Chlamydomonas reinhardtii: one gene and its partner. The main gene of each other region encodes a partner of the protein of the gene in region 2 in a complex. Links are inferred from orthologs where the notes say so. Each region holds a gene or a part of one and is shown on either strand. Other genes may lie near its edges.

Region 1 (3,378 bases), on a different chromosome or scaffold from region 2:
GCACGAGCGTGCAGTTGCCGATGGCTCTGGCAGGCGCTCGTGCGAAGTGCATAAACAGCGACCTGGTCTTTGCATCATGTCGGTGTAAGCTCAGCATACCTCCATAGGAGCGACGAAAAAGCCTCCTTCGACAGACGGGATTGCCACACACCTGCACACCATGGGCAACAACACACAATAATCAGTCACACACGCGCGCCTGATATGTTGTGACGTTACAGGAGGGGCAATCTGCGTGCGCAAGCACGCAGAGACCAACGAATGCTGCCAGGGCCAAACTTGGTTCCACAGACCTTACTGCTGCTGCAAACACTCCTTGCCAGAAGTCTAGCACTCCACGCACTGAGTCAAAACTCAGCCCAAGTAGATCCGCCTTACATGCTAGCAGGAAACTGCGCGAAGGCACTTACTCGCGCTCCAGCCGCCAGCTGCGGCCGCTGTCGAGCCTGACTTGGCCAGCACCTTGGAGTCGTACTTCACCTCCCGCCCGCCCTCCAGAAGGGCAGAGTAGTCCTGCGCCAGCTTGGGTAAAATCATGGGCAGGCCGCCCGTCCTGCAAACAGAAGGATTGTGCCTTGCAGATATGAGCAAAACAGCGGAAACATCATGGAAGCCTCAAGTTGCTCGTGCATCTCGTCCATCAGTGGCGCCAAAGCACTGTAGTGCTCACATGGACGGTGCAGCAGCCTTCGCCGCGGCAACAGCTGCCAGTGCGATCGCATCCAGAGCCGCCGCATGCAGGTCGGCACCCATGTTCGCCTGCATGCCCAGTCACACGTTACGATGTTGTGCGCAGCTCTTCATAATACGATGCCAGAACTAGCCTTCTCCAGTGCATACCTGGCGTGCGCTCTTGGAATTTATTTGCTCCTGGTTTGCTGAGCGGTATCTGCGCACTTGCGCCTCGGTGCGCTCGATATCCACATTGTTGGACAGCCGCCAAACTGTTGCGTGCACATTGGAAATACGTTCGCATTACGGAGGGACTGCTGGGTACGGGTCAGCAGGGCGCAGTGCAAGGTACCTGCGGATTGGCCTGTCCCCCTGTGCCCCATAACGCTGTAACTGTACTCAATATACGGAAACCCAGTTGTGCTGGTACTCAACTGATGTCCTCCACTTCTTCCAGGTAGTCATCGAACTTCTCCTTGCTGTCAAAGTCATCCCGGTCCTTGTTGTATCTGCATCCAAGCGAGGGCTTGTCCGTCACGCAGGCGCGCTGGGCACCAGCATGTCGGCAGTGCGACTCCCACAACCTACATGGCCAATATACGACGGCGCACTTTCAGCTCCTTTTCTAGGTCAATTTCCATGGTCAACTAGCAGGATGGCCCCACGAATATGGTGGGAGGGCTGCTTTGCGTTGGCACGGTGCGTGCACTCGGCACGGTGTTTGGGTGGCGTGGGGCGGGGTCGGCGCGCGTTGATACCCCCAAATGTCACAGACAGATTTAGGTTCCCATGCGTTGAATGGGTCGCTGACTCCCGTGAAAGCTATATTGCGATTCGCGCGGCAATGTGTGCCCTTCGCCGTGCGCAGACACGGTGTGCCAATTAAGATGAAAAACTGTAATTCCAACCATGTAATTTCATCAGTCGAATTGCACTGGGGAATGGAAAGGAGAAAAACAGAGTGCATGGGCTGCCCATTCCGTGAACTCTACCGTCTCCTATGCGCGCCTTGTGCTGTTATTACTGGATGTGCTAAAGACTACGCTGCGTTGTTAGAAGGAAGCTATCCGTTTTCGCTGTCCTGATTTCTTCTTGGCACAATGGCCCTCTCTTCTGCTGCCAACGTGGTCCGGTCGGCTGTTCTGCAGCACTTGCGCGTGACTGTGACCTCCAGCCTTCAATCGAGCTCTCTGCCGACCTTCACCAACATAATCAGCCGTGGCTTTGGTGGTGGCTTCCTGGACAAGGATTCCGTCACGGAGCGCGTGCTGCACGTCACAAAGCACTTTGAGAAGATTGATGCATCCAAGGTGCGTGGGCTCTCGCGGTCCTTGTACGTTTTAAGATGGCGCTGAAGCTCGTTGCCGCGTCCACCGACATGCATGCGCGCTAACCATGCGTTCATTGCATGCGCTGATCATTCTTAGGTGAGCCCGGCGGCCTCTTTCGAGAAGGACCTGGGCCTGGACAGCCTGGACGTGGTGGAGCTGGTCATGGCATTGGAAGAGGAGTTTGGCCTGGAGATTCCGGACGCTGAGGCAGATAAGATTGCTTCCGTGGGTGACGCTATCAACTACATCTGCAGCAACCCTATGGCAAAGTAGAGCAGCGGCGATGATGGCACGTTGCACGCGATGTGGAGCGCAGGGCGGCAGGGCGGCAAGGTTTGGCTTATGGCTTCAACGGTAGGGTAGGGGTGTTTCAGGGCTTGGGGTTTAAGCGAGGTTGAAGGGGTGAAAGCAGCTGGCCGGCAGCAGAAGTGAGTAAGAGTAGGACTGCAGCCTTGTTGGGTATGCCCCCACGGCCCGCACTGGCGGCTGAGTTGCCGCAGTTGTGCCAACTGGTTGAGAGTGCGTGTGTCGTGCCCTGCTGATGTGCGGAAACACCTTTCGTGGTTTCCCAAGATGGGAGTCATAGTGTTAGGTTCGTGTGGTTGTGACGAGCACCACCGCGTATGAGCATGAGCATGTGATGAACGGGTAGATGCGAGTTGTTTACGTGGACATAGGATTGGCATGTAGGCGCATGTACAACTGGCGCACGTTTACCTTCAGTGGTGTCCAGGTGGCTGTAACAGTACGGGGCACGCTCGGTGTGCGCATCCCGACCGCCCAGCCCAACCCCACGACAGGCCGACTGGGCCAAGACTCGGCTCGGCACGTGCGTGTGCTGTGCAGCTTTAGTGGTGTAACAGAACCGCTCCCAGTAGTCATGGGCAAGAGAGGAAGTTCACCAGAAGGGAGGGAGGCAGACTTGACGAAGGGCACAGTGGCAGTCAACGAAGGGAGCCGCTTAGGTCCAACTACCATCACCATTTGACGGACGTTGACCGCGGCAAACCCGCCAACCCCACCAACCACATGGCAAACAGGCGGGCCCTTGATAAGGATAGATCTTGCAGGCGGTGTCCGTATCTAGTAGATGCCCTGAGGCCTGCGGCTTGTAGCTGACCCATAGTCCCATACGGCAGTCCTGGCGACCCGGCGCGCTGGGATCGACAGTGCAATCCTGACCCCACGAGAATCAGACACGCCCATGCCCAGTTCTTCCTGAACCCCGCACGGCAAGGCCCGTACGGCGGTTGGGCAAACTTTGGACAAAGATTCTGACAAGACAGGCGACTGGTGTGGGGGGCAGGTAAAATTCAATTTCTTGTGGGACTTTCGTCCCAACCACTTTTGTGGGGTTTCTCCTACAGCCCACCCG
Region 2 (4,392 bases):
TGCAGGGAAGGAGGGAGGCGGGAGAGCCAGGCAGGGTGAGGGAGACGGGAGTCCGGGTGGTGCATAAAGCCAGCTACACAGAACATCATTCTTACGACCAGGGTGTTAGGCATGTGACAGAGGTGCTTTGCCCCGCCGTAAAGACCTGCCCAGCCCCGGCGCCACAGCCCACCAGTCCACCATGCATGCAAAGGCCGGTGGCCTACACACGTGCGCGTGCGACACCGCTCGCAACATGGCGGACTGAGGTCACACCCACCTGCGGCGGCGTGATGGGCGTGAGCTGCCGCTGCAGTGCCGCCCCGGCTGCGCCGCCTTCGCGCGCTGGGGTGAGGGAGAACGGCCTCCGCTGCCGGAGCGGCTCCACCCTACAGGGTACAAGATGAGGCAAGAGCATAATGCTTGCACGCGCAACTGGTCGGAGGGTGGGACCGCGTGGCACCATGCACGCATGCAGCAGTACATGGCGACAAGCCAGGCAACAACACTGTCAGCACGGCAGAATACTTACTTGGCCGGCGGGGGCGCAAGCCCGTACAGCTTCCGCTTGTTGCCGGTCACGTTATCCTGACTGCATGCATGATGGCCACAAGACAGGACAAGCTACGTGGTTAGCAAGGAGCGTGGAAGCATGGACCAGGCCCCAACCCCCGCCGCTCTCTTGACGTTGCCACTCACACTCTCACGGCTGCCTGGGAGTTGCGCCAGCGGACCAGCGTGTCCAGGGCTCGCCCGCTGAACACCAGCGGCAGCAGCCACAGCAACAGCTCTGTGCACCAGGTGAAAGGGCATGTCGGCCCAAACAGGAACTACCTTGAGCGACACCGCACACAACCTCACCCCTGCGTTTCTTAAGCGTGAGCCCCGCATAGAGCGTGTCCCTCCCGCTGTGGTGCCCCACCCACGTATTGCTGCCAACGTGCAATGCGCTTCACCCGTCACAACCCCCACCGGCGCAGCATGCTTCCCAGTAGCTCTGGCCCGCGCTAACTGTGCTATCCCCCTTCCACCCTGCAGACGCCCCCCCTGTGTCGACCGGCTCCACTCCACCCCGACTCACGGAAAACCAGGCGCAGCCATGGCACTGGCAGAAGCGATACGAGTGTAGATCTGTGCGCATAAGAAAATGGGCAAGCTGTTTAAAAGAAAGCCCGTGGAGACAGCCACCATGGCGGGAACCCGTCCTTTGAGCTAGTTTGAGCGCCGTGTATATGACAGTCATTCGCTGACCTTGAATTTAATGCAGCAACCGAGATCACTGTAAGGAGCGCATCGAGGCCTACGCTACGAGCAGCTTTCGGTGTGCGCACCACAGGCGCAACGACCGTATTGGCCCCGCTAGGGTCAGTATTCCATCGTGCCATTCTAAGTACGCATAGTAAATTTTCCAGTCTGGGCAAACAAAACTAAACACAAAGGTTGGGGCCCCCATTCCCATGCACAGTGGACATTGCGCTGGGGCTTGCGCAGGGCTCGGACATCTAGTCATTTTATACTGCAAAGACTGCTGGAGCTCCCCACTTGGGTGCTGTGACTGTAGGCCTTGCCGATTGAGAGTTTGCCTGGCAGGCCAACCCAGGGAGTCCGCCCTGAGGAGTGTCGCGACTTAACGTTAGGTCATACGATTAGGTCATACTTGCTCAAGAAGCTGTAGCCATGTCGTCCCGACTTGCTCAGAAGGCAGTGGAGGTCGCGCACCAGGACAAGCGCCTGTTCGGGGGTGCTGCTCGGCATTTCTACTTTGAGGTGGGCTGCGATGCCATGGGAGCCATGCCCGGGGCTGCTGCTGCTGGCGTGGGGATGTCACGCCGAGTCTCGCAGAGTGGCATGCCCAGACCCTTAGCGAGGACGTGCAGTCAACAAGCACTGCCGGTTGCGTCGCAGATTTGCCGGTGCTTGCCGTTCATTCAGCGGCTGCACAAAATGGAGGAGATGGTGTCGCTGAAGGAGCTGCGTGCCATCGTTAAGGAGAAGTTCAAGGAGTACAAGGACGTCAAGGACGGGCGGGTGGGTCGCGCCCATGTTGCATGCACAGCAACCGAACGCGGGAGGACAGCGGAGTGGGGGGGTGGGACGGAGCGGGGGGGGGGGGTAAACTGGTAAAGGCGCAGCGGGCTGGGGCTGGGGCTGGGGCAGCGGTCTTGAGCAGGTGGGGCTGATGCTGAACGGGGCTTTGCTGTCGCCCGAATGCGTGCAGGTGGTGGACCTGCTCATCTTCAAGGGCCGCGAGGAGATTGAGGTGAGAGCCAAGATGCCGGGGCTTCTCTGCCAACCCTGTGGCCAGGGTGCTGGGCCTACATCGGGCGTGCCGATATAGCTCGTGCTGACTGGCGCCGTGGTGCTGACCGCGGACCGCCGCCTACTGCCGCCCCTGCCCCGCCCCCGGCGCAGACCTACCTGCTCATGCACAAGCAGCGGCACCACGTGGTGAGCGGGGCCCCGCCCTGGCGGCTGGGGACTGGCGCTGGTGCCAGGCGTGTAGTTGCTAGGTGGATGGGCAGCGCAGCTCACTCCCGCAGGGCGTTGCGGGCAGTGGCAGCGCAGCCTGAGCCGTGGGAGCGCCGCCGCTGGTGCACCACCCCCACACTCCCACTCCACTCTGACATACACGTGTATTGGGTGCGATTCTTGTTGGCAAACAATACTTCGCACGCACGGTGTCGGCCCCATTTTCCTTGCGCTTTCCTATTAATCATACAAGTTATACAACACACCGCCGCTACACAACAGGTGACGGAGGTGGTGGAGCCCTATTACGCCAAGCAGCGCGCGGTGAAGAAGGTGACCACGAACAGCCCCTTCCTGGACAGCTTCCTGTCGTCCGGTTACGCGGCCATTGGCGTGCGCAACTCATAAACGAGAACAGCGACAGCGGACAGGGCGCACGGTACAGCGCGGCTTCTGAGATTGAGGCGGCGACGGGAGTGAGCTATCTGGCTGGTGCTGGAGGATGTTGTGAAGGGTATGTGGGGAGGGTTTCCACAACACACCATTTTGGAGGCGCGCAGTGGCGTGTGGTAGTGGCCGCCGGCTGAAGCTAGGGCTGGTTGGTGACGGCTGTGGTGCTGGACGATTTACAGCTGGTCGGGCAAAGCCTGGCCGGCACTGGCTTATGATGACGAGATAATGAGTAGGGATTACGCATAGGCTTGTGTTAGCTGTTGACAGGGCAACGGCAGAGTGCTGCGTTGCTAAGCTGTCTGAGCAGGGAATTGAGGGATGTAGAGGCGTAGAGACACGTGCAAGCAGCTTACAGGATGACTTCGGCAAGCTTTTATACTAGCATTGATCACAAGAATGGACAAGCGTCCATGCATTAGTTTAAGCTGTGTTCACACTTGCAACGAGAATGGCTTGAGGCATGCCTAGCGCGCGTACGCGTAGAGCAGGTGCTGCGCGTATGGCATGCGCTGGTCGGGCGCAAACGCTTGCCCCGACGTGTGCTTGTGCGAGGTGGGGCTCTGCGGGCTGACGTTGTAAGCGTATGTATCAGCTGGTGTCACCGGAGTGGGAGCGACAGCAGGCCATGCGCTCGGTGACTGCTGGTGCGGAGCAACTGACTGCAGCTGCTGATACGGGCCTGGCGCTGGGTGGTACCCCATGGCTGCATGGGCGTGCGGCGACGGCGGCGCGGCTGTGTGGCTTGGGTAGGCGTAGAACGACATCGTGCCAAGCGCGCTCACCGACCCCAGACTTGCACGCAGTGGCTGCTGCTGCTGCGGCTGCAGCTGCTGCGTCTGATGCGCCGGGCTGGCAGCAAACTGCGGGTCCCCACTGTAGCCAGCCGGAGGGTAGTAGGATGCTGGCGGCGCAGCCGCCCAGTGGCCGAGTGTCTGCCCTTGCAGCTGCGCGGATGGCGGGTGTGACCAGGGCTGCGGCGAGGAGCGCGCCGGCGGCCCCGCCGTCGTGTAGTGCTGCGGTGAAGCCATCGCCTGCAGGTAGGCCGGCCAGTGGCTGCTGCCCGCAACCGGCTGACCGTATCCTGGCGTCAGTCCCACGTGCGTGCCGCCAGACGGAACCGACGGCGTGGAGTGCCACTGCGGCTGCGGCTGCTGCCCCGCAGGGGCAGGAGCTGACGGCGGCTGAGGCGGGGCGCTGCGCATATGCGTCAGCGGCGGCCCGCCCGCCATGAGGGATCCCACGGGCGGCCGCGGCGATGCGGGCGGCTGTAGCAGCATGCCGGTGCCCATGCCCACCGGCGACGAGGCGGGCAGCTGGTGGCTGTAGCCGCCACCGTAAGGGTAGTGCGGCGAGCTGACGGCACCCGCCCATGTGCCCTGTGCGTAGCCGTTGCCCCCGGCAGGGTATCCAGGCTGCGCACCAAGGCCAGGAGCACTGGGTAAGTACTGCTGCTGCTGCTGCTGTTGCGTGTGCTGTTGGTGCTGCTGGGGC

What was found.
Region 1: the proteins of CHLRE_12g555250v5 (region 2) and CHLRE_16g673109v5 are in contact, whole or in part, in a cryo-EM structure (PDB 8BEE), measured with the Arabidopsis thaliana proteins. The link is inferred for Chlamydomonas reinhardtii from reciprocal best matches to the Arabidopsis thaliana genes AT3G12260 and mtACP2. Residues at the interface, in NP_566416.1 of Arabidopsis thaliana: Phe27, Asp28, Phe30, Arg31, Cys34, Arg35, Arg56, Tyr57, Ser60, Ile63, Arg64; in NP_176708.1 of Arabidopsis thaliana: Phe61, Gln62, Asp82, Ser83, Leu84, Asp85, Val87, Glu88, Met91, Ala92, Glu94, Glu95, Glu100, Ile101, Asp103.

What each region holds. Positions count from the first base shown.
Region 1 is NC_057019.1:3,471,679-3,475,056, forward strand, and holds CHLRE_16g673109v5 (uncharacterized protein), read left to right. Parts: upstream 1-1,670; 5' UTR 1,671-1,772; coding exon 1,773-1,982; intron 1,983-2,099; coding exon 2,100-2,276; 3' UTR 2,277-2,875; downstream 2,876-3,378. Other genes in the region: CHLRE_16g672753v5 (uncharacterized protein), read right to left, coding at 75-151, 411-553, 671-759, 841-944, 1,108-1,181, 1,261-1,313. UniProt on the Arabidopsis thaliana protein: Carrier of the growing fatty acid chain in fatty acid biosynthesis. May be involved in the synthesis of short and medium chain fatty acids.
Region 2 is NC_057015.1:7,575,454-7,579,845, reverse strand, and holds CHLRE_12g555250v5 (uncharacterized protein), read left to right. Parts: upstream 1-1,495; 5' UTR 1,496-1,656; coding exon 1,657-1,746; intron 1,747-1,884; coding exon 1,885-2,007; intron 2,008-2,197; coding exon 2,198-2,239; intron 2,240-2,391; coding exon 2,392-2,427; intron 2,428-2,730; coding exon 2,731-2,856; 3' UTR 2,857-4,051; downstream 4,052-4,392. Other genes in the region: CHLRE_12g555200v5 (uncharacterized protein), read right to left, coding at 260-368, 512-571, 679-769, 1,061-1,110, 1,231-1,364; CHLRE_12g555300v5 (uncharacterized protein), read right to left, coding at 4,109-4,221, 4,322-4,392. UniProt on the Arabidopsis thaliana protein: Accessory subunit of the mitochondrial membrane respiratory chain NADH dehydrogenase (Complex I), that is believed to be not involved in catalysis. Complex I functions in the transfer of electrons from NADH to the respiratory chain.